Caenorhabditis elegans: one gene and its partners. The protein of the gene in region 1 purifies or fractionates together with the protein of each later gene. This does not show direct contact. Each region holds a gene or a part of one and is shown on either strand. Other genes may lie near its edges. The genes, in order: prde-1, tofu-4, tofu-5 and npp-9.

Region 1 (5,707 bases):
GGATTAATTCCAAATTGTAAGAGGTCAAAACATAATCCGGTTAGTCAGTCTAGACAGGTTGAAGATTTTTTTTTTCAGAAAAGTACAGAAGGATCTTTCGTCAATATAGTGAGAATTTGAACATCTTGGGAATTTGAAATTCGAAAAAATGCACGTGGCCGAGTTATCCCTTGTCGCGGCCACACATCGCCCCAAAATTGAGGACGATTTCTTTCAAATGCTCCTTAAAATGAGCCAACTCAAGAACGAAGTCAATGACGTGGTACTAATGTCGGTTTATTTTGTCGAATTTTTTTCGGATGAGAGGCATGACTCATAGGAGCAGAGCCAGAATTTTTCCAAAAAAAAACTTCTCCTCGGGGAGTACACGGATCAGAGAGCTTGAAAATCAAGTTTTATACTTTTATTAAATCAATTAATTACCAGCGTGAACATTCAAAATTTTGATTTTAAAATATTCCATAGAATTCAAATTTCTCGTGGCAAATGTGGAACCTATTCGACATTTGAATTTATTTCCGAATATTTTTCTCCGAAAAATCAATCGATAAATGGATATCAAAGTGATTCGCGAGAAGTTGACCCTGACAACGTCGATTACGGTGGGTTCCGCGCGAAATTTCTATTCGGAAAAAGTTCAAGTGATTTTTTTTCAGAGCGAATCGGTCGCCGAATACGAGCACGATGTCGACGAATGTTGTCGCCTTCTGGAGCACAAGCTCGAGCTGGAAATGGAGAAGAAGCTGCAACTGAGCAATCGGATCGATGTCGTTCAGTCGCAGGTCACCGAACTTTGGGATCGCGTGGATAAGGCGAGACGTCGCGAATCGGACATCTCGTGTCGCGTCACCGCCTGGGCTCAGCATTTGTCGGAGATGATGAATGAGGTATTACATAGTCGTCAAAAAATTATGTGGGTCTCACCACGCTGTGAACGAGGTACTGTAACTCGTGTCGATTTACGGGCACTAACCTATAAAAAGAACCACTAAATTTTGAGAATGGGTATTGCGCAACGTATCTGACGCGCAAAATATCCCGTAGCGAAAACTACAGTAATTCGTTAAATGACTACTGTAGCGCTGGTCCGATTCTGAAAATCAAAAAAAACTTCCGAATTTTCCGAGAAATGTTTCCGAAAATAAAAAAAAGCCCGTAAATCGACATCCGTGCTACAGTAGTCATTTAAAGAATTACTGTAGTTTTCGCTACGAGATACTTTGCCCGTCAGATATGTTGCATAATACGCATTCTCAGCATTTAGTGTTTTTGTAATAGCGACCCGTGAATTATCACAATGAAAAGTAACCTTTTGTCCGCGTGACGAGACCATGCGCGTAAGATATGGCGAAAACTAATATTATATGCAATTTTTTGTTCAGGTGAAGCTGAAAAAGGCTAAGATGGGCACAACGATGGAAATATCCGCGACACTTTCTGCTGAAATTCAAGAAAGTCTGGATTTACTCGCGGAAAAGCGAGTGATTGTTCAGAGAATGCGGGAGGAAATCGACTATCGTCGCCACTTGCACAAGGTTTTTATTAATAAATCTGAAAATGTTTAAAGCAATATTGAAACATTTTCAGCAACAACTCAAAGATTTGAAGCTGGATTGTGACAGAGAGGAGGAGAAATGCGAATATTGGAATGATAAAAGCGCTGAAATCGAAAAAGTTGTGGAAATGCTCAAAGAGCAACGCAAATCGCTTGGCGAACGTGTTGAAGAGGAGAAACGAATGGAGCAGGAGCAGAAGAAGATGCTGGAAGAGCTTGAAATGTTGTTGAAGAAAACTGGGAAGAAACGGCAGATTTTAGATGAAAACGCCAATTTGGTGGCTTCTTTCTCCAGTTTGACCGAGGAAAGCTCTTAATTTTTATGTTTTTTTCTTCAAAAGCATTTTTTTTGTGTGTTTTTTCCTCAAAATAAATCATTTTTAATTGTTTTAAAACATGTTTTTGAAATTAATCGTCAATAACGAAAGTTGCGTCAGCTACCACTGCTAGCGCGTTTCTCGTGTTGCTTGCGCTTTTCTCGATGGCAGCGAATTTTAAATTTAAATATTTAAATTTTCGTTTTTCCTGCCTAAATTTACTTGTTTTTCACCATTTTTCTTGTGAGTTTATCAACTTTTCAGGTAAAAAATGAACAGAAATCGCAAAGGACACGATTTAGAAAACATTGAGCATCGATTCACCGATGAGGACTTGGCAGGTCTGAAGGAGCAAAAGCTTTTTAATGGTAAATGGATTATTTTGGAGAAAAAGGAGAAACGAGGAGCCGCGTATTGTTATCTTGTGTGTGACAAGCCGTGCAAGAAATTTGTGAGTTATTAAAAAAAATTAAATTTAAAAAAAAAAAAAGTAAAAAAAAAATTATTATTCGAATTTTCAGGGGATTCTTTACTTGGAAATCGGCGAGGACAACGTGACAACCATCGCGAATCAAGTAGATTTCTATCATCAGCAATCGTCACTTGGCTATTCTCATCGATTTTCCGCTTTAATTGATGCCGGAATCATAAATAATCACGTCTTCTTCATGGTCGTCAGAATCCGTGCAGGACCCACTTTACATGATCTTTTAAAATGTCTGAGCAGTGATAAAATGTCCGTAACTACTGCCAGTTTCCTCGCTGTCGACATGATTTCTGCTATCGAAATTCTGTCAGCTTCCGGATGGGTTTTGAGAAATTTCGACTCGAAACAATGGATGTTGGATATCAAAACGAGGCAGTTTTATTTGGCCGATGCTACTGATGTACGGACTATGTTTCCGCTTTTAAAATAACAATTTCCACTAAAAAATTGCAAGAAAAATCGCGATTTTCAGCAACTTTTCACCTAGAAAACGCATTTTTTCGGAATTACACGAAAAAACCAATTTTCTTAAAAATTCACCTAAAAAATCTCGATTTCCAGCATTTTTTCACCTGAAAAGCGTATTTTCTTGGAATTGTACAAAAATCGCCGATTTTTAGCAATGTTTTCACATAAAAAACTTAATTTTTTGGATTTATACAACAAGAAACCCCGATTTTCAGTAATTTTCCTGAAATTCGCCCGAAAAATCTAAATTTTCAGCAATTTTCACCGAAAAAGCGTATTTTCTTCGTATTATACAAAAATCTGTGATTTTTAGCAATGTTTTCACATAAAAAACGTATTTTCTCGGTAAATCCACAAAAAACCAATTTTCAGTTATTTTTCTTGAAATTTGCCCGAAAAATCTCAATTTCCAGCAATTTTTACCTAATGGGGTTATTCAAGTAGTGTCGGAAAATTAAAAAGTGTAGAAAAATTACGTCACAACCTTATTCAAGTAGATAAAAACATGTATTTAAATACATTTGTGACGTCACAAATGTATTTAAATACATTTTGCTACATTACTTGAATAACCCCATAAAAATTTGAAATTTTTGGGAAAAATGAATAAAAGTCCCAGAATCGTCTGAAAATCAACATTGTTGGTTTCAAAAACTCCGCAAAACAGCGAGTTTCTTTAGAAAAATTATTAAAAACATATACTTCGTCAAAAAAAAACAATTTCTACTGAAAAAAACTAAAAATCGCAATTTTCAGTCGAAATTCGAGTTTATTTTTTCGATTTTATTTTTTTATTAATCAAATTTTTGATTTCTTGGAAGAAATTTCGGTTTCAGACTCTTAAAATAAACAATTTATGCATTTAAAACCCCAGATTCTCGTTAAAAATCGATTTTTCTCATACTAAAATTCCAAAAATTTGCAGATCACCGTCTCCTCTGACAAACGTCACCGTGCCATCGACGAGATTCATCTCAGAACAGCCGAATCTATAGATTTGCATTGGAAAACCGGAGATTTGATCTACGCGCCGCGCTCTTTTGTCGATCGAGATCAATCTCATCGAATGACTGAATTGGATATGATGGAAATGATGCTCTATGTGCTCTACGATTGGACACATGGAAAATTGCCGTGGAAATCGTCGAAATCCAGAGAAAGAATTATGGAAATGAAGGAATTGTTCATTGAAAATTTGCAAAAAGAGCCGGAAGAAACGAATAAAGTCGAGCAGCAAATTGATGTTGATGTTTGGTTCGATATCGCGTATGGATTTTGGAAAATTTAGCAAAAAAATGAGATTTTCATGGAAATTCATCCAAAAAATCGGGATTTTCAGTGATTTTTCTTCCTTTAAGAATGATTTTTGCTAATTACATTTTTAAAAAATCACGATTTTTAGCTATTTTTCATTTAAAAAATCATTTTCTTGCTAATTATTCAAAAAATTCAAATTTTCAGTGATTTTTCACCAAAAAAAGTAGAAAAAAGTAGATTTCTTGCAATTTACACAAAAAATCTCGATTGATAGCAATTTTCACCTAAACACAAAACAAATAATTATCCCAAAAATCCAGAATTTTAGCATTTTTCCTAAATACTAAAAATCATTTTTCTTGCAATTTTTATAAAAAATCGTCTTCTAATTTTTTTCACTCAAAAAATAAAATATTTTCCTGAAATTATCCCGAAAAGCCCCGATTTTCAGCTATTTTTCATCGAAAAAAAATCTAATTTTTATGAAAATTCACCCAAAAAACCCCGATTTTCAGCGATTTTTCACAAAAAAAGAATACAATTTTCTTCAAAATAACCCGAAAGGTTTCAATTTTCAGCATTTTTTTATGGAAAAAAACTAATTCACCCTTTTTTTTTTCACGAAAAATCAATTTTTTTAGAAATTCACCCAAAAATCCAGATTTTCAGCATTTGTTCTTCTAAAAAATATTTTTCTTGCAATTTACATAAAAAATCACTTTTTTTAAAAGCAATTTTTCACTTAAAAAAATAAAAATTTATTGTAAACCAGCCGTGGACCGCACCTTCGGCGCAGCCCCCGACTTCTGGGGCTGAAAACTAATTTTTCTGAAACTACCGTAATCATACAGTACTCCTACCGTACCACTATTGTACCACTACAGTACCCCGACTATATCCCTACACTAAGCCCAACTCACTATCCTCCAGAAGCCAAAACGTCACAGAATACAAAGACTACATAGACTACAAACTATGGACAAACGGAATAAGCGCTTTATATATAGTAAATGATTACCTGAAATATTTAGATTTTAAGCAATTTTTCCGAAAAATTGAATTTTCCTGCAGCATTTTCCATTTTAGCAGTTTTTTTTTAACGGTAAAAATGTCAATTTTCAGACTCCGAAACTTTGCAAAACATCTGAAAGTGGCAAAAGAAGAGCAAGAAAAGCTTGAAAAACTGCCGGTTCGTGGTGGAGCATGGTGTCCAAAGGGTCCACGTGCTGGAGCACAAATTTCGACTGTAAATCGATATTTTCTGGAATTTTTGAGCTAAAATTTCGTATTTTTCAGGTGAATTATCGTGGAATCATTGACGATTTCTACAAAATTGTGTGCAGCGGACGACCGGCTTGGGCTCTTCATTGGCGGGATGTAATGCTCGATTGGGACCGGAAACTGGAGAATACGGTACGATTTGGGATTCAATTTTTTGCGGAAAATTGGCCAAATTAGCGAGAATTGCCAAAAATGGATTTTTTGAGAGAAAAAAATAGTTTTTTTTCGTTTAAAATTGAATTTTTCACAAAAATGTAATTTTTTTTGTTGAAAAATTGAGAAAAAAAACTTTCCGTGAAAATGTCCAATTATTCATGAAAAATTGAGTTTTTCATATAAAAT
Region 2 (4,638 bases), on another chromosome or scaffold:
AGACAGCGGCGAAAATTTAAAAAAAACCACCATAAACTTTTGCGGGTCGAGACCCATCTGAAGAAACATATGCGCCTTTAAGAAGGCATGTGAATAAATACACGACATGTCGCGACATAACGAGAACACAAAATTCTGAGAATGCGTATTGCGCAAAATATCTCGTAGCAAAAACTACAGTAATTCTCTAAATTATTACTGTAGTGCTTGTGTCGATTTATGGGCTCGAATTTCGAAATGAATTTCTGTTCGAATTGTGACAGCGATTTCAACTTTCTTTACAATTAGTTTTTTCGTATCATTAGTTTTTTTGATTTTTTGCTCAATTTCAATATCTATAAATAATTTATTTCAAAACTCGGGCCCGTAAATCGGCACAATCACTACAGTAGTCATTTAAAGAATTACTGTAGTTTTCGCGACGAGATATTTTGCGCTTCAAATATGTTGCGCGTTTCTCAGAACTTTGTGTTTCCGTAATAACTAAAAATGCAATGAAACCACTGAAGAAGTTAAATCTTCAATTTTTCAGAACTATTTTCCCCTGCCTAACAAAAACCGATCCGATCTTGACAACGGATGTATTCAAGCGTCACAGTCAACCGACTGATATTTAATAACTTATTTCTTCCATCTCCATTAATGTTTTGTATCAAATTTTTCTGGTCGCTCCCAAGAATCTCATCGCTATTTTTCTATGAAACTTGATTTTCAAAATTTAAAAAAAGTTTTATTAAAAAAAAAAACATCTTACTAGAAAAGAAACAAAGAACGTATATAAAGTGTCGAACGATTGCGAAAAAGCTAAATATTACAGAAAATGTTTGGTCAAATACGGGAAAAAACGATAGATTATATTCTCACGATATAAATAAATTTGAGATTTGAGATTCTCAAACAACAGCTAGATGCTCTAAAATTTGAAACAAACAGAGAATAATTAAAACAATAATGTGACTCGGATAAAAATTCTTTTAGAATTCTGCGTCTACCATCAGATAGTCGAAGTCTTCTTCCTCCTTTATGGTTCCCTCGTCGCATTGACTAGTCAGGTCAGGAAGGCTGTACTGATCAATAGTCGACGGCTGCTCCGATGTACTTTCCACGTTTGTGTAGTCGATTGGAACATCTACATGTCCGAGCGATTTCTGCTTAATCCTTTCGCGAATTTCCTTCATCAGTTTGGAGTCTCTTTCCTGCTTTTTTGAATTTGCGACATTATTCAGGAACTTGATGGAAGACTCGTGAGCATTGAATGTGGATTGGAAGAAGACGAGATGGCTGAAAAATATTCTTAATCAATATATATGGTTTTAAAATACTCACGTAAATGGTTCCTGCCATAATAATTCGTCCGGATATTTGATGTCGTTCTTGTCAATAAATCCTGAATGTTGATTTTGAATTGAAGATCGACTGTATCCATGAACGGACTTTGGAGCACTGAAAACATAATATTTATTCATGATATTTCTCTTAACAATTACTTGTAGCTCGCGATCTTCTCCGAAAAAGGGTTCATATTTAGTTCGACGGCCTGTGCCACTTGCTCTTTAGAGTTTCTTGTTTGGTAGAAAGAAAATGAATGCGAAATAATATCCGCTTCATCCTCATCGGAATTGATTTCGTCTCTTTTTGTTGATCTGATTCCGATACCCATCCTTCTCATTGCTTTCCAATCGACTTCAGGATCGTCTTGTTTGATGTCACTTGTCAAAGACTGAAAAATTATTGCAAATATTTAAATTATAAATTCTTACACACCTTCAGAGTCAATCCTTGCTCAGCAAAAGTGTCACAGGTGTAATCATCTGCAAGTTCCAGGTCCGGTCTCTTGATGCGACGTCTTTTAGGGACTCCTTGAGGTCTGGTCTGCAAGAAATCATTTCTAAATTTCAACAACTAGCATTAAAATCCCACCATTTTTCTTCTATACAGTCGCCTTCTTCGTTGCTTCGGCATCGCTTGTGGTTCGTACTCACAAACCACGTCTTCAGTGTCTGAGACTTCCCCATCTAACGCTTTCTTTTTCTTTTTGAGAATCCTGTCGTTCTTCAACCCACGAGCAATTTTCTGCTCTAATTCTCGGACAATCTTAAAGAAGTTAAATCGATAAAAATTTTTTAAAAGGCAGCATACGCGTTCATCCGGTCGCTCGCCTTCGGAACTTTCTGCAGCATCCACCATCGAACTCTTGTGAGTCTCCACAACGTATTCATCATCACTCTCCTCGTCGCTGCTGCTACTGTGATCATCGTCGTATTCATTTTCTGAAAAACTCTTGTTGTCAGTGCCATCTGCCGATGCGGGCGGTACTTCGATCTCCAACGGATCCTCTACAATTTCTGTTTCAGGAATTCGTGATTTCTTCTCGGGCTGGTTCACTCCCGAAGATTCCGCATTTGCTCTTTTTGATGCGCTTCTCGTCGTCGGTTTCATCTGAAATTAATGTCTCATTATTAAATATAGAAGCTTAAAAACACAATAAATGAATAAGTAAAAAACGTTTATTTAAATTTTAAGTGCTTTCATCTGTTCTTTGCACATTTCAAAGCGGTTTCTAGACTCAAAATACATAGAGATATGCTCAGATTTTAATAAACTACAATTTTAAAACTTCAAAATATGAGAAATTCTCTTGAAAGTGCATTTTAAGTAGAAAATGAACGGAAAAAAATTGAAATATAAAAGAAAAAACTTAAAGGTGCATGACATTTCTTCCATGGGTCTCGACACGAGAACACAACATGTTGACCTGAGTTACGGTAAACTTCGGTTGAAATTAGTTATTTTATGTCAAATTATTCATTTATTTTTCAGTTTTTTCTCATTTTCAATTAGTTTTTAATTAAAAAAAATGTTTTAAAATATTTTAAGTGTCAAAATGGACGAAAGCTTCGACTCTTCTGTTGTCCCTGGCTCTCTGACGAGTGATGACAGGGTGAGTAGATTTGACAGAGTTTTTTTTGTCGAGAAAACGAAAATTTTCAGGCTATATTCAACGAGCAAACATTGAAAAATGGTGATGAAAATTCGAAAAGCTCTCTTGAAGTGATGGCCAACTGCGTTTATCTTGCAAACTCAACAATTCTCCGTGAACGGAAAGTTATTCCTGCGGAATACTTCCAGGATTTTCAAGTTTATGGTGAGGTTTTATCTATCTGACTTGCAATTAAGCATGAATTATTTTATAGGAGATGTCAGCGGATATACTTTGCGACAAGACATTCCAGAAGGACGGAGTGTGTCTTCGAAGCTTTTGGCGTCTCATGACGCGATCCGTCAGAAACTCCTTCAGGTACAGTTTTACTCTCGTAAGTGGTAAAAATTCATTGTTTGCAGAAACTCGCTATTGTCGTTGAAGAGTCACTAAACACGAATCCCGTGGAAACGTTTGTCTGGACCTTTGTCTATGACTCAACCACATCTGCAAGTGCCGAAATCGGATACGGAGGGTTAGATCATTTATCTAAATATAAATTTCACTGACTCTTTTCCAGGCGTAAATCTAAATTTGTGGTGAATTATTTAAACATGGATGATACTGCTCAACAGTTTTGCAAGATGTTCAGCGAGCTTAGAAATGTTCTAAGCCTGCTCCGTCCGCTACCAAGAGGCCTCATTCCATCGATGAAAGTAGCATACAGAGGAGGTAAGGTTAAAAATATTTAATTTAAATCATAAATAAATTATTGTTTTAGAACCGGAATTCGTTCCCGGATTTCAACAAGTCGACGATTTTGTGAATCCTGAGCAGATCAATCTTGGTGCTGTTAGTTTTCCTCACGGCAATGGGTTTGTTCGTCATTTCAATCATCAAATTCTTAATTAAATTGATTCAGATTTCAATTCGCATATGCCTCGAAATTCATGGTTGAACAGCCTTCAGCCATTCGTCCACCAGTGGAAGTTTCTCATTTTGAAGATGATTTGCTCAACTCAACGATCACACCGATCGAAGTTGTTCGAGATAACACAATGAATTGTGCTGAGAATCCTGAACTTGACGAAATCTATTTTTCACCAGGTGCGTTTTGTCGAGAAAAAAAATTAATTTTCTAATGTTTATAGGTCGTCAAGAAGTACGTATGGACGAAGATGTGGCAAACGAATCAATTCGTTGTAATCCAAGTATGGCCAGTGAAATGATGGTTCTGCAGTCCGAATATAATGTATTGATTGCTGATAATGATGAAGTTCCAATGGTTGTTGAAAGGGAACGTTCTCCAATAGTGAAAGCTGCAAAGAAACGTTCAACGAGAGCTCCCGCTGTCCCGATAACTCCAACGGAACCGGCTTCTCCCGTGGAGTCCCCGGTGAAAGAGCAACCTCAAAAAGCGCCAAAAGCTCAGATGAGACGTTCCAGTAAACGCACCACGAAGAACAATGAACGATGCGAACAGAAAGAAGAAGAACCAATAGTGAACCCAAAAAGGGTAATTATTTTTATTGTTATAATAAAAATGTTAAGTTCAATAATTTACAGAGAAGTGCTCGTCGGCTTGTACCTCCAGTTGAAGTCGATGAACAGCCAGAAGAACAAAATGATGATGATGCTCAGAATTCTCTTCAAATTGACTCTGATGCTCAGAATTCTCTTCAAATTGACTCTGATGCTATTATCACCTCTCCCGAGAA
Region 3 (4,524 bases), on another chromosome or scaffold:
TGTTAAATGTTTCTATATGGAACCAGATGAGATTGTTACTCAGAATATTGATGTTAGGTAGGTAATCGTTTATTTTAATATGCCTCATTTCAACTATTGCGTTCAATAATTATTTTTCAGTTTTTCATTTTGAGTGCAACACTGATAGGAACTGCAAGTTTAATTTTAAATCAGTAATATGTATTAAGAAAAAGATACTGAAGTTTTAACATTTTATTTCAATAATTTTACATTGAGATTCTATACTTTTCAGTGTTTAGTATTTGAGGGTGAAAAATCTTTGAACTCACCAGATAAGATTATCGGAAACTCTTAAATTTTTTTTTCAAGTCTATGTTCTTGCAAATTGCCAAATTGAACTTTTTGCGTATTTCGGAGCATTGATGATATTTGAATTTTCAAACACAAATAATTAAAAAAATAATCAAAAAAATTAATTTTCAGTATGATCCCAACGACTGAACTATCTGACAGTATGGTAATGCCAAAATGCGAGTATTCAGTTCGTCGTGATGGTCCAAATGGTCCAACTTTAACATATGCCAATGTCGGAGATATTGTATTTCATGTATGGGAATGTACACCGGCTGATATGGGAATGCTTGTCAAAAAGTGTTTTGTAACAGATGGAGACGGAGAAGATCATGCTGTTGTTGACTTTGATGGCTGTGCAACTGATCCATTCTTGCTCAGTGAGCTGTCTTACGATGCTTCACTTATGCGAGCTCATGCATCAAGTCAAGTTTTCAAATATGCAGACTCAAATCAATTATATTTCACTTGTCAGATAAGATTGTGTCAGAAACAAATGGGAATGTGCCAGGAAGTTACGGTAATAGAGTTCGAAGATTGTTGAAGCAAATACTTATTTTTGATTTTCAGCCACCAAACTGTGGAGTCAAGAAATTGCTGAGTGAAGCAAGTGGTGATGGAAATCGAACAAAAAGAGAAGCTGATCGGTCTGATTATGAGGTAATCATAGATTGTTTCCGGATTATATATTTTTTTAATCCTCCTAACATGAAAACAATAAAATATTTAGATCGACGTAGCAACATCAGAACTTCTTGTACTTGATCCAGCAGATCGTGGGCTCCTTGCTCCTTCTCCATTCTGTGTTCCACGACTACTTCTTCCAGTTCTTCCCCTTATTCTTATCACAATTGTATCATTAACAGTTGTCTCCACAGCACTAGTGATTCGAAGACAAAATCACAAAAAAGAGCTCGATATAATGCAGTCAGGCAGATATTATTGATTTTCACATTATTATATTATTTTATAAATTACACGTCCCGATTGTACGGTTTCAGCTCCCATTTTTCTCTTAAAAATTCCCTTGAACTCTCTCGAAAGTCAGGCACAAATTTCTCATTCTTTTTCTCTGTGATGTCTGTTCCACACATATTTTTACGGAATCTAATTCATCAGGCATCAATGTTATTTTATATAAATTTACGAGTGTTTACATTAATAAAATCTGAATTTTATTTGACGAGGATAACGACACAGCTAAAAAAAAACAAAAATCGAGAAAAAGTTGCTTACATTCGGATCTAAAAGTAAATTTAAGAAAACAGATAGATCGAGACGATTAGAAGTCGATTCCGATGGTTGGAGCAAAGAGACCGGATCCTCCGGTTTGTAGAGTTCTTCCTTGTTGACGATCCCACCAAAGAAGCTTTCCATCCAAACATGCTTCATTCGACTTGTCCATTGGGACAAACATAAGACGAGTGTAAATGTAGAAGAGAGCGAAAACGGTTCCGACGTACAGGAATACGGTGCGTGGTGTGAAACGGAAGAACTCGGCTTGAGTCATATCAGCAGAATACCAACGGAACATTGCTGGATCCATGGTGACTCCCTCCTTGTACTTGAAGCTATGAGGATCGTATTCACGACGGAGATATTCCTTCTTCAAAATCTCCTTGACACGATATCTGAAAGTAATTTTTTAAAAATAAAATGTAGTTTTTTTATCATAAAGTTGGATATTAAAAACTGAATTTATGTTAATTCAGTGTTTAATATCCAATTTTATCGCAACAGTTTTTTTAAAGCAATTTTTGATTTGATACTCTGTAAATTATATCAAGAAACTGTTTTTTTTTGTCTCTATTGCTAATAAATCACTTGAAATAAGTGTTCATCAACGCAAATGTTATCATATATTGATTTTTCAATAGAATTAAATAATTTTAAATTGAGAATATAATTAAAACTATGTTTCTCACTGTTTTTAGAATTTTTTTAAAAACTTTTAAGCAAAAAGCGTTTTTCGTATTACCTCCACAAAACTGCTTTCTTCTCCTCGTCGCTCAGATTGTATTCATGTCCTGGCAGAAATTCGGTCTTTCCTATACAGAACAATTATTATTTTACAAGTTAACAGTAAATTATGAAAAATAAATCGATAAAATAAAAGTTTTACCGTGAGTCTCAAAATATCCAAGCACTGGATCCTGCCACAGTTTCGGAGATTTAATATTTTGGTTGGCAGCTGGTCGAAGAAGTCTTAATGCCAACTTCATTTTGGTTCAACCTGGAATTAAAATATTAATAAACAAAATCGGAAAACAAGACGGAAATTAAGAAAAATAAAATAAAAAGTTCTGAACAACTGGTTCAAACGACACTCCGATATTTCGCAACAGCGCCTTGTTTATCGTAAATCTACATCACATTTCAAAGCGAAAGGAATTTTCCTCAATTCAATTTTCTTCAATTCTTTCCTAAATCGAGGCCATAATTATTTTTTTTCGCACATTAAACTTAACTTAAAACTCAAATTTTAGCCATGGAAACCGACGGCGATCCCACAAATGAAATTCCCGGTAGCTCTATGGCTTTTGAAGTCGCAAACCATACTGTAACCGAAGAACCATCACCACTGGACAGAGTCAGTTTTCTAATAAAATAAACTATTTAAAAATGTAAAATTTTGTAGATTCTCGCAGAAGGTCGCAGCTTCAATGGTGGCAATTGGTCCAGTGACGACTTGAGAAGTTTATTGGATGGAGTGATGAAGTATGGTACCAAAATTGAAGCCATAAACTATATTCACCGAAACATTGTAAAAAAACGATCTATCGAAGAGATAAAGTAAGTTTTTAAAATATATGTTCAACATTTAATCATTATTCTTTTTCAGGGCGAAAATTGACGAGATTCGAGAGATTATCAAGGAACACAAAGAGATTATTCTCCCTGAGTGTTACAAAAATAAATGGATCGAAGCAGGACATCATAATATCACTCCTCCACCATTTTGCCAAGTGGATCCAAATGACGACTGGAGCAGTATCATGGGAAAAATAGTCGATCATCATCATGGATCAATCAACAAGACCCTACCTTCTCTTAGAGATACTTATGAGGTTTTATATTTTATTAGTCAGCAATTGAAAAATGCTCAAATTTTCAGACACTCTTCGAGAATCTCGCTCTAGAATCTAAAACTCACGAAAATGCGGTGGTGACCAAACTTCTCACCGCAAAAGCTACAAGAACTGACTCTCAAAATATAAGATGGCCAGTCATTTACAGATTCATGAAAGCATGTGCCACATTGGAAGAGCAAATGCCAGCGCTCAATGAACTTGGTCAGTAAACCCAGAATAATTCTAACTCTGAGGGAACTTAACCAGCGCTACAGTTTTATTTTCAGAAGCGGCAGTTGTCTCCAAAGTACTAGACACTATCGAAACCGAAGCTACGACAACTCCAGATACTGAGAAATCTATTCTTGCCGGTATTTTCAGTGAATGTCAACAAGGCAATTACCGCTTCTGTGAGCAAGACTATCCTCCGAACGTTATGGCGGCAGTTCAACTGTTCGTGGATCCACTCCGTACCCGTTTTCATGCGATCCCTGAAGTTGCATCTGAAGTCGAATTAATCAACTTTACGAAGGACAACCAGCCATCTACATCGTCCAATTGAAATTTTTATTAATTTTTTGTTATATCCTGTCATATCATCCGGTCGTTTCACTGGTATTTAATACATTGTTATTAAGTTTATTGATTTCAAGTCTAACAAAGACAAAAATGGTAGAAACCCGCTTCTTGACAAGTTCGTCGTCGTCCAAAGACACGTGTTGATTTGTTTGTTATAGCTGTCTGAATCGAGGAGATCTACTGTCTGCTGATGTTCCGTTTGTAGTTGGTTCAGTCGGTTGAAAGTTCTTGGTTTCCTCAACTACCTGATCGAATATTACTTCAATTCCAAGCCATGTCTCTTTTCCAATTGGAATAAGCCAATGTGGTTTGACTTGGAATGCGAACCAAGCTGAAATTGAATGTTATTCTAGTTTTCATGGAAGATCTAAACGAATTCTTACTTTTCATATCAGGTGGCAATTCCAGTACATAGACATATTTTGTCGGAGTATTCTTTTTAATCCAATCAGTTGCTCCTCCAGTTGCTGTTCCAAGCATATCTGCTGCAGTTCCAACTCGATATTTTGTCTCCCGATAAGCGAAAACGCGATCAGCTGCTCTGTTTGCCAGAATTTCCTGA
Region 4 (6,818 bases), on another chromosome or scaffold:
CGAACCGGGCAAATTCGTTCGAAAATGCGCGGAGAAAACGTTCATCGGGTAGGTTTTGTCCTCAAAATTCGAAAAATAAAGTTTTTCCAAAAAAATCTTTGATTTGCACTAGAGACATCGACAAAAATCAGCTTTTCAGAGCTGAAATATTCGAAAAATGAATATAAATTGAAGGGGCGGAGCTTATTTGCAAGCCTGGAACGGTTTTTCCGCAGCCCTGCCGCACGTGCTAAAAGGCTCCGCTCTATGAAATTTTTTGCAGTTTTTGAGTGATTTTGACAAGTTTTCTGTATTTTTTGTCTATTTTCTATTGGAAAACATTTGATTTAATCGGAAAAATATATATATTTGAATTTTTGAGCTGAAAAATTAATTTTCTTCACGAAAATATTGTCCCTGGGCCTTTCAGGCATTTTTTTTCTAAAAATAAAACATTTCCAAAGAATTCTGTATTTTATGGTCTAGAAATTCGAGTAAAACTGGCTTTAGAGCTTAAATATTCGAAAAATTATTATTTGAGGGGGCGGGACTTATTTGTCTGACACGGTTTTTCCGCAACCCTACCGCACTTGCGGGTTTTTTCTTTTTTTTGGTTTTTCAGTGTTTTAAAGCCTAACTTGTTAAGAAAAAACTTTTTTTTTGCAGTATTTCTACGGAACCCGTGCCAACAATCTCTACCCATTCACATTTGACGTCAGCTTCGATGACGTCACTCTTTGTAAAATCGGAGCCGAGCAACTGCCCGATTCATGTCTACCATTCGGAATGGAAGTTGAAAATCATGAGACAAAGCTGGTTATCATGGAGCCCAGTGCCGACATTAAACATCATTTGTTCGCGTTCTCGCGGAGCACGAAAGCCGACGAAAATGTGCTGAAATCGCCGGTTTTTGGATTTTGTCTTGTCACGGAGGTTGGTATTTCGTCGAGTTTTTGGGTCTCGAACGGAAATTTCAATTTTATCCAAATTTCAGGTTGATTTGGAGAAGCGAACAATGTCAATTCTCTGCCCACAGCGTACAATTCCATCGAAAGTTCTCGTCTTCTCAGATATCACCCATCTTGATGATCAAATAAAACGATAATTTATTTCTTTTTTTTCCTAATCCCTATTTATTTGTTTCCCGCCCTCAAAATAAATCTCATTCTTCAATGCATTCACAATTTATTGGATTGTCACCAGTGGGGAAAAATCGATGCCGGGACAATGTGAACAATATAGTTAAGTTTTAAAGACAAAAATTATGAATGATAGTGTGTGGGGGGTACTTATGAGAACAATGGGATTTTGAGAGAGATGGGGGGGAAATAAGGAAATTATTTTTTTAAAAACCTTACCAGACAAATATAAACTACACTTAAAGGACTATAGATGACAGCAGATGGGGATGAATAAAACTAGGTTCATAAATAAAATTGGTGGTGGGGAATACTAACACAGAGTGCTGGGTGGGGAGGAATAACAATAATAAAATAATTTAAATAATCAGCAGAGGATTACATCTTCGATTGAGCATCCTGAACAGCCGTCTTGAATGCTCCGGCGGTCGCCTCGTCCTTGAATTTGGCGGTGAAGATGGCTGGATCAGCGTTGGAGGCGTCTTCTGAGAAGTCCTGAAAAATAAGGAATTTATAGTACATTTTTATATAAAAAGAAATTAAAAATTGCTACCTGGCACATAAATGTGAGCACATTTGGCAAGTTTGGCTTCGGACTGAGCTTCATCGACTTTTCGATACGGAAATTGGCACAGAGCTTATGGACTTGCTCACGACGCATCACGATTCGATATTTGTTGTCATTGCTTTTCAGGAGCTGAAATAATAAATTATTTTTCTCAAATTTAGCCTCTATGAGTCAAAAATCAGTTGTTTTCTTAATAGTTTTCATTAAAATTTAGTGAAAAAACATAGAAAATACTTGCAAAACAGTTGAAAAGTGCGCAAAACTAGCACTTTTCTTAACTGTTTCAACTGAAATAAGTTATTTTCTACGTTTTATCACTAAATTTTAATGAAAACTATCAAAAGAACATGCCAAGCTGGCTCATTTTGATATAAAATCCTAAATCTGACCTTAATATCTCCGAGTCCACGTTCCTTATTCTCCTTGAGATCCGAATAGTACTTATAAAGCTTGCATCTGGCGGAGAACATGACCTCCTCGTCCTCTTCACCAGTTTTCACCTCAACCAAATCCGGAAGAGGAATAACTGGCTTAAACTCGACTTCTGGCTCATACTCCCCATCTCCATCCTCATTCGTCTCATCACCATCGTGTGAAGTTGCAGAAGTCGTGTTCAACGTGGTGTTCTTGCTCCCGAAAATGCTTGCCTTCTTCTGAGCAGCAAGTTCTTCTTGGGCCTTCTTGACATTTGCTGCGTCGAAAATGGAGCCAGATTTGGCAGAGTTGGCTGAAAGGGCAGCGAATGTTGCACCTCCAGACGTGAATCCACTACCGAACACGGATTTTGGCGTCTCGGACTGTTTATTTTCTTCTTGTTTAGCTGGTGCAGTCGTTGATGGAGTCTGTTGCTTTCCGAATGAGAAAGTTGGCTTTGGGAAGGCACTTTCAGAATTCTTGGCGAACATAAACGACGGAGTAGTAGTTGAAGAAGCTGTAGATTCAGTCTTGGAGAGTCCACCTCCGAACAATGAATTTCCTGGAGTCGTAGAGGTTGCCGGAGAAGCAGTTGAAGCTGCAGGATTGTTGAAATTGAACGATGGGGTAGTTGCATTGACAGCGGCAGCTGGCTTGTTGAATGAGAAAGTTGGAGTATTAGCAGCACCTCCACCGAAAACGCTTGTTCCCTTTGGTGTTCCACCACCGAAAATGCTACTGCTAGTGCTTGGAGATCCGCTGAGTGATCCACCGAACTGAGATGTTTGAGCAAGAGGTTCCTTGGCTGGAGCAGATGCTCCGAATCCGAATGTCACTTTTGGAGTTCCTGGGGCAGGCTGGAGGATCGAAGGTCTGCAAATTTAAATTTTTAATTTTAAGATAACTCAAATAGAATATTTACTTAGAGAATATATTTTTCTCTTTGACAGATCCGTCTTTCGATGTCCCACAACAGGCACATTCAATCTCGTCAGCTTTGCAAGTAACATAGCATCCAGGGCATTCCCAAGATCCTGGTTTTGGCTTGAACTGATCTCCAAATCCAGTCTCTTCCGGTTTGTTGTTTGATGGAATCACAACTTCTTGCTTGACTTCCTTCTTCACCTCAGCCGCCGGCTTGATTTCCTTGTCGATGGTCTTTCCAGCGTTGCTCGATGATTTTGCCTCAGCGACAGCCTTCTCGAACAAAGTCTTAAACTCTCCAGCGATATCGACGTTAGCGAAACGAGCGGAAAGCTTCACGTGAGCTGGCTGATCTTCGGAAAAGTCCTCGCAGAACCATGTGTAGGCCTTCTCGTTGGATTTCATTTGTTGAATGGTCATCGAGCCGAGAATTGGGAAATTGGCACAGACTTTGAGAACCTGTAATTTATTTTAATGCTAAATTAAGGTATTTAAATTTAAATTAAGATCTTTCTGTTGAGGAAAACGCCGAAAAATGTGAAAAAAGCTGTAATTGGAATAACCTGAATATTCCAACACAATTCTTCGGTTCCATTCTCAATATTTGAAGGGAGTGTCTCCTCCGAAATGGTCACCTGGTCTCGTCGCATAACAACTCTCCACGACTTCTTGTCCTTGTTGTAGAGAACCTTCAGCTCGCCGGTTCCTCGCTCCTTCCATTCCTTCGTCTCGTTGGCATAAATGTAGAGTTTTGAACGATTGCAGAACATGGTTTGCTCTCCTTCTTCTCCAGTTTTCACCTCGACAAGATCTGGCAGTGGAATGACTGGCTTGAACTCGCCCTCTGGCTCGTAATCCTCATCATGTTCTTCGTCTTCATCATCTTTAGCTGCTGGAACCACGACTGGGGAAGCAGTTTCAGGCTTTTTACCGAAGATTGAAGTAGCTGGATTGGTCCCGCCGAATGAGAATCCGGTGGTGGCTGGCTTTGGAACAACTGCAGGCGTTGGAGTAGAGAATGTTGGCTTAGCAGGTGGAATTACAACTTCTGGTGGAGATGTCTGAAAAATATTGAATTTTTAATTGCTGGAACTAAAACCCGAAAATTTGTTACCTTTGGTGCAATAACTCCAGAAGCTGGAACTGTCGATTTTGCTTGTGCTGTAGTGGCGACCAGTGGCTGTGTAACGGGAATAGCTGGCTTCGCAGCATTGAGCAAATTAGCCATAACTTGGCTTTGGGCCTGTGCTTGGGCTTGAGCTTGAGCGTGAGCATGAGCTTGAGCTTGTGCTGCCTGCACATGAGCCATCTCCATTTGTCGCTGAAGAATCAACATTTGCTGTTGTTGCTGAAGCTGCTGTGGAGGAATCATTGAGCCGAGAGGATTCGCATCACGAGCAAGAAGAGTGTGTATAATTTGATGAAGTCTCTCGAGCTCTTTTCCGTGATTAGTGCTCAAATCGGACAACTGCTTCTGAAACCGATCCTCGGATCGACGAATATCATCGCGAAGCTGGGTGACGCCGGTCTGGTGCTCAATCTGTGAAAAATAAGTATTAAATTGAGTTTTTCATGAATCGCATACCTTCAACGAGTCCATGCTTTTGATAAGCGAGTCAAACTGCATTGTCATCAACTGCTGCACATCCACGACGCTGGCGACAATGCGCCCCATATTCTGAAATACCGTGAATCATGTTGAGCAACATTCGAAAAGATTCACTTACCGGCTTCTGATCGCTCATTGCGAAAGGAGAGCTGAAATATGAAAAATATCAGGTAAACAATTCAAGAGACTTCAAGCTAAAGCGAGATAAAAAGACGAATACTGCGGTCTCTTTAGTTGAAAATTAGCAGCAATACTTCAAAGAATTCGCGCCAGGGATTTGAATTTCGAAATTTCGCGCCAACGCTTTCCCTGCTTAAAATAGGGCTTTCCTACCTTTAAAACTAGTCTTTTCTGTATAAAATATGCTTTTAAACGCACAAAAAATGTTTTCCAGCTATTTTTCGTAAAAATACGGAAAAACTATGGCGAAACAGTCTAAAATAAATAGAAATTGGGCGCCAAGCTTCGCAAATTTCGAAAAAAGTTCAAATTCCTGCGCCGTGGCGAGACCCGTTGCGTAAATCGACACGCGCGCCTTTAACCATGAGTTGGCAATTATTCATGGAAAATACCGGTTTTTCAGGCGAAAAACAGGATTTTTGATATTTTCCGTCGTTTTTTATGGCTTTTTCGGTTTTTGAAATGTCAATTTTGCCTGGAATAGCATTTATTATTCACTTTTCTCAGCGAATTTATTGATTTTTCATCAGAAACTTTCAAAATTGTGTTTTTTAGTGATTACAACAACAAAATGGAAGTAGACACAAGCTCATCGTCATCTTCAGAGGACGAATGTGACCCAAGCTCTCCGAGCACGGCATATATCCACTCAGCGTGAGTTTTTCGCTAAAAAACACAAAAAACAAACTGTTTTTTAAATGTTTTTGTTTCAAAATTAACATTTTCTGAAGTTCTAACAGCAGTTTCTAATCCGATTAATTCCAGAAGCGTACGATTATCCGTCGGAACAGAAGAAGCGGCTCGAACCGTGGCAGATGTCATAAAAATCGATAAAGAGCCGAGAAGAAGTGGTGCTCGACGGGAAGTGTGCAGCGAAGGCGAATTTGTAGTCATGTAATAGTTTTTCTATTCGAATAACTAAATAAATAAGTTAATTTTCAGAAAAATCGAATCAAAAGATCCGAAATCATTGTCAAAATCCATTGCCAACGCTGTTGATATGATCGATTTGTCCGTGAAAACTATCAAACTTTGTGAAAATCTGGGAAAATCGAAGGAAAACGGATTGAAAAGAAAACTCTCAAACGGATCTCAGGCTTAATTTGATTAAAATTTGTTATTTTTTCTGTTTTTGTTTTTTGAAATGAATTTTTTTCAACTTTTCATGATTTTTTCTTCTTAAAAATATGGTTTTTAACCTTTAAAATACTTTTTTTTTCGATTTTATTGCAAATTCCCCACTAAAAAATCGATTTTTTCAGGTTTAAATGTTCAAAAACCTGAAAAACCGGCTGGATAATGAAGCCGGAAAGCTTAAACAATCAGCTCAGCAGTATGGAGAACAACTCGCCGCTCAAGTTGGACAATATCGGCAGGCGATGGTAAAAATCCACTGAAAACTGAGAAAAAATCGATAAAATTGCAGAATGAGCAGCCTGCTGGCAGTGATGCATCCGCGTCGATTTCTAAAAGATTCACCGGAGAATCAGGAGAAACTAAAGCTGAAAATCCAGCAAATACCTCTATTGTGAGAGTTTTAACATGAAAAATTCTCGAAAAATTGAATTTATCGTCGAAAAACTATTATTTTCCAACCATTTTCGTGAAAATTTCCGGAAAAATGGATTTTTACTGTTGAAAAACAATTTCTTGTGAGATTTAGTTCGGAATCCAAAAAATGTACCAAAAACAGCAGAAATATGCGAAACAAAGAGATTTTTAAATAAAAATCTATTTCCAGCAGCTGTGAGACCGTTAAAATGTACGAATTTTAAGGTTTTATTAAAATTTTTCGCCATTTTTTCGAAGTTTTGCATCAATTTAATTGCAAAAAAAATATATTTTTTCCGCATCTAAATCACATTTTTGTATGTTTTCCATGTTTTTTACAAGAAAACTCAAAAAATACCAAAAAATATTTTTTTTTTCATTGGGAAAAACCATTAAAAATCAGAGATTTCGTTGAAAATGGTCACATTTTTACGAAAATGATCGAAAATGACTT

What was found.
Region 2: the proteins of prde-1 (region 1) and tofu-4 purify together in Caenorhabditis elegans (affinity purification with mass spectrometry, with the first as the bait; one study listed by BioGRID). This does not show direct contact.
Region 3: the proteins of prde-1 (region 1) and tofu-5 fractionate together in Caenorhabditis elegans (co-fractionation; one study listed by BioGRID). This does not show direct contact.
Region 4: the proteins of prde-1 (region 1) and npp-9 purify together in Caenorhabditis elegans (affinity purification with mass spectrometry, with the first as the bait; one study listed by BioGRID). This does not show direct contact.

Annotation. Positions count from the first base shown.
Region 1 is NC_003283.11:15,536,115-15,541,821, forward strand, and holds the start of prde-1 (piRNA biogenesis factor prde-1), read left to right. Parts: upstream 1-2,129; 5' UTR 2,130-2,143; coding exon 2,144-2,323; intron 2,324-2,393; coding exon 2,394-2,759; intron 2,760-3,752; coding exon 3,753-4,093; intron 4,094-5,206; coding exon 5,207-5,330; intron 5,331-5,380; coding exon 5,381-5,497; intron 5,498-5,707. Other genes in the region: F21A3.4 (Trichohyalin-like), read left to right, coding at 552-602, 657-887, 1,383-1,535, 1,588-1,872. UniProt on the Caenorhabditis elegans protein: Nuclear factor required for the production of piwi-interacting RNA (piRNA) precursors. Specifically required for piRNAs produced from loci associated with the Ruby motif. Promotes binding of the transcription factor snpc-4 at piRNA genomic clusters.
Region 2 is NC_003279.8:4,824,195-4,828,832, forward strand, and holds tofu-4 (Twenty One u-rna (21U-RNA) biogenesis Fouled Up), read right to left. Parts: upstream 2,446-4,638; 5' UTR 2,440-2,445; coding exon 2,140-2,439; intron 2,095-2,139; coding exon 1,921-2,094; intron 1,873-1,920; coding exon 1,765-1,872; intron 1,721-1,764; coding exon 1,488-1,720; intron 1,444-1,487; coding exon 1,327-1,443; intron 1,282-1,326; coding exon 975-1,281; 3' UTR 710-974; downstream 1-709. Other genes in the region: F57C9.6 (G-protein coupled receptors family 1 profile domain-containing protein), read left to right, coding at 533-617; htp-3 (HORMA domain-containing protein), read left to right, coding at 2,885-2,941, 2,992-3,145, 3,195-3,298, 3,343-3,455, 3,501-3,652, 3,702-3,795, 3,843-4,027, 4,072-4,436 and 1 more.
Region 3 is NC_003279.8:7,066,642-7,071,165, forward strand, and holds tofu-5 (Twenty One u-rna (21U-RNA) biogenesis Fouled Up), read left to right. Parts: upstream 1-2,798; 5' UTR 2,799-2,800; coding exon 2,801-2,902; intron 2,903-2,950; coding exon 2,951-3,105; intron 3,106-3,154; coding exon 3,155-3,380; intron 3,381-3,427; coding exon 3,428-3,605; intron 3,606-3,670; coding exon 3,671-3,945; 3' UTR 3,946-4,024; downstream 4,025-4,524. Other genes in the region: cutl-6 (ZP domain-containing protein), read left to right, coding at 1-57, 445-832, 883-972, 1,043-1,258; nuo-6 (NADH dehydrogenase [ubiquinone] 1 beta subcomplex subunit 4), read right to left, coding at 1,595-1,943, 2,291-2,360, 2,435-2,534; W01A8.6 (Peptidase M14 domain-containing protein), read right to left, coding at 4,115-4,293, 4,346-4,520.
Region 4 is NC_003281.10:3,399,495-3,406,312, forward strand, and holds npp-9 (Nuclear Pore complex Protein), read right to left. Parts: upstream 4,783-6,818; 5' UTR 4,770-4,782; coding exon 4,752-4,769; intron 4,703-4,751; coding exon 4,610-4,702; intron 4,565-4,609; coding exon 4,139-4,564; intron 4,086-4,138; coding exon 3,588-4,085; intron 3,484-3,587; coding exon 3,023-3,483; intron 2,974-3,022; coding exon 2,076-2,973; intron 1,816-2,075; coding exon 1,672-1,815; intron 1,614-1,671; coding exon 1,497-1,613; 3' UTR 1,150-1,496; downstream 1-1,149. Other genes in the region: Protein clpf-1, read left to right, coding at 1-48, 646-912, 974-1,084; F59A2.5 (L antigen family member 3), read left to right, coding at 5,385-5,467, 5,579-5,707, 5,756-5,915; golg-4 (GRIP domain-containing protein), read left to right, coding at 6,082-6,195, 6,240-6,341.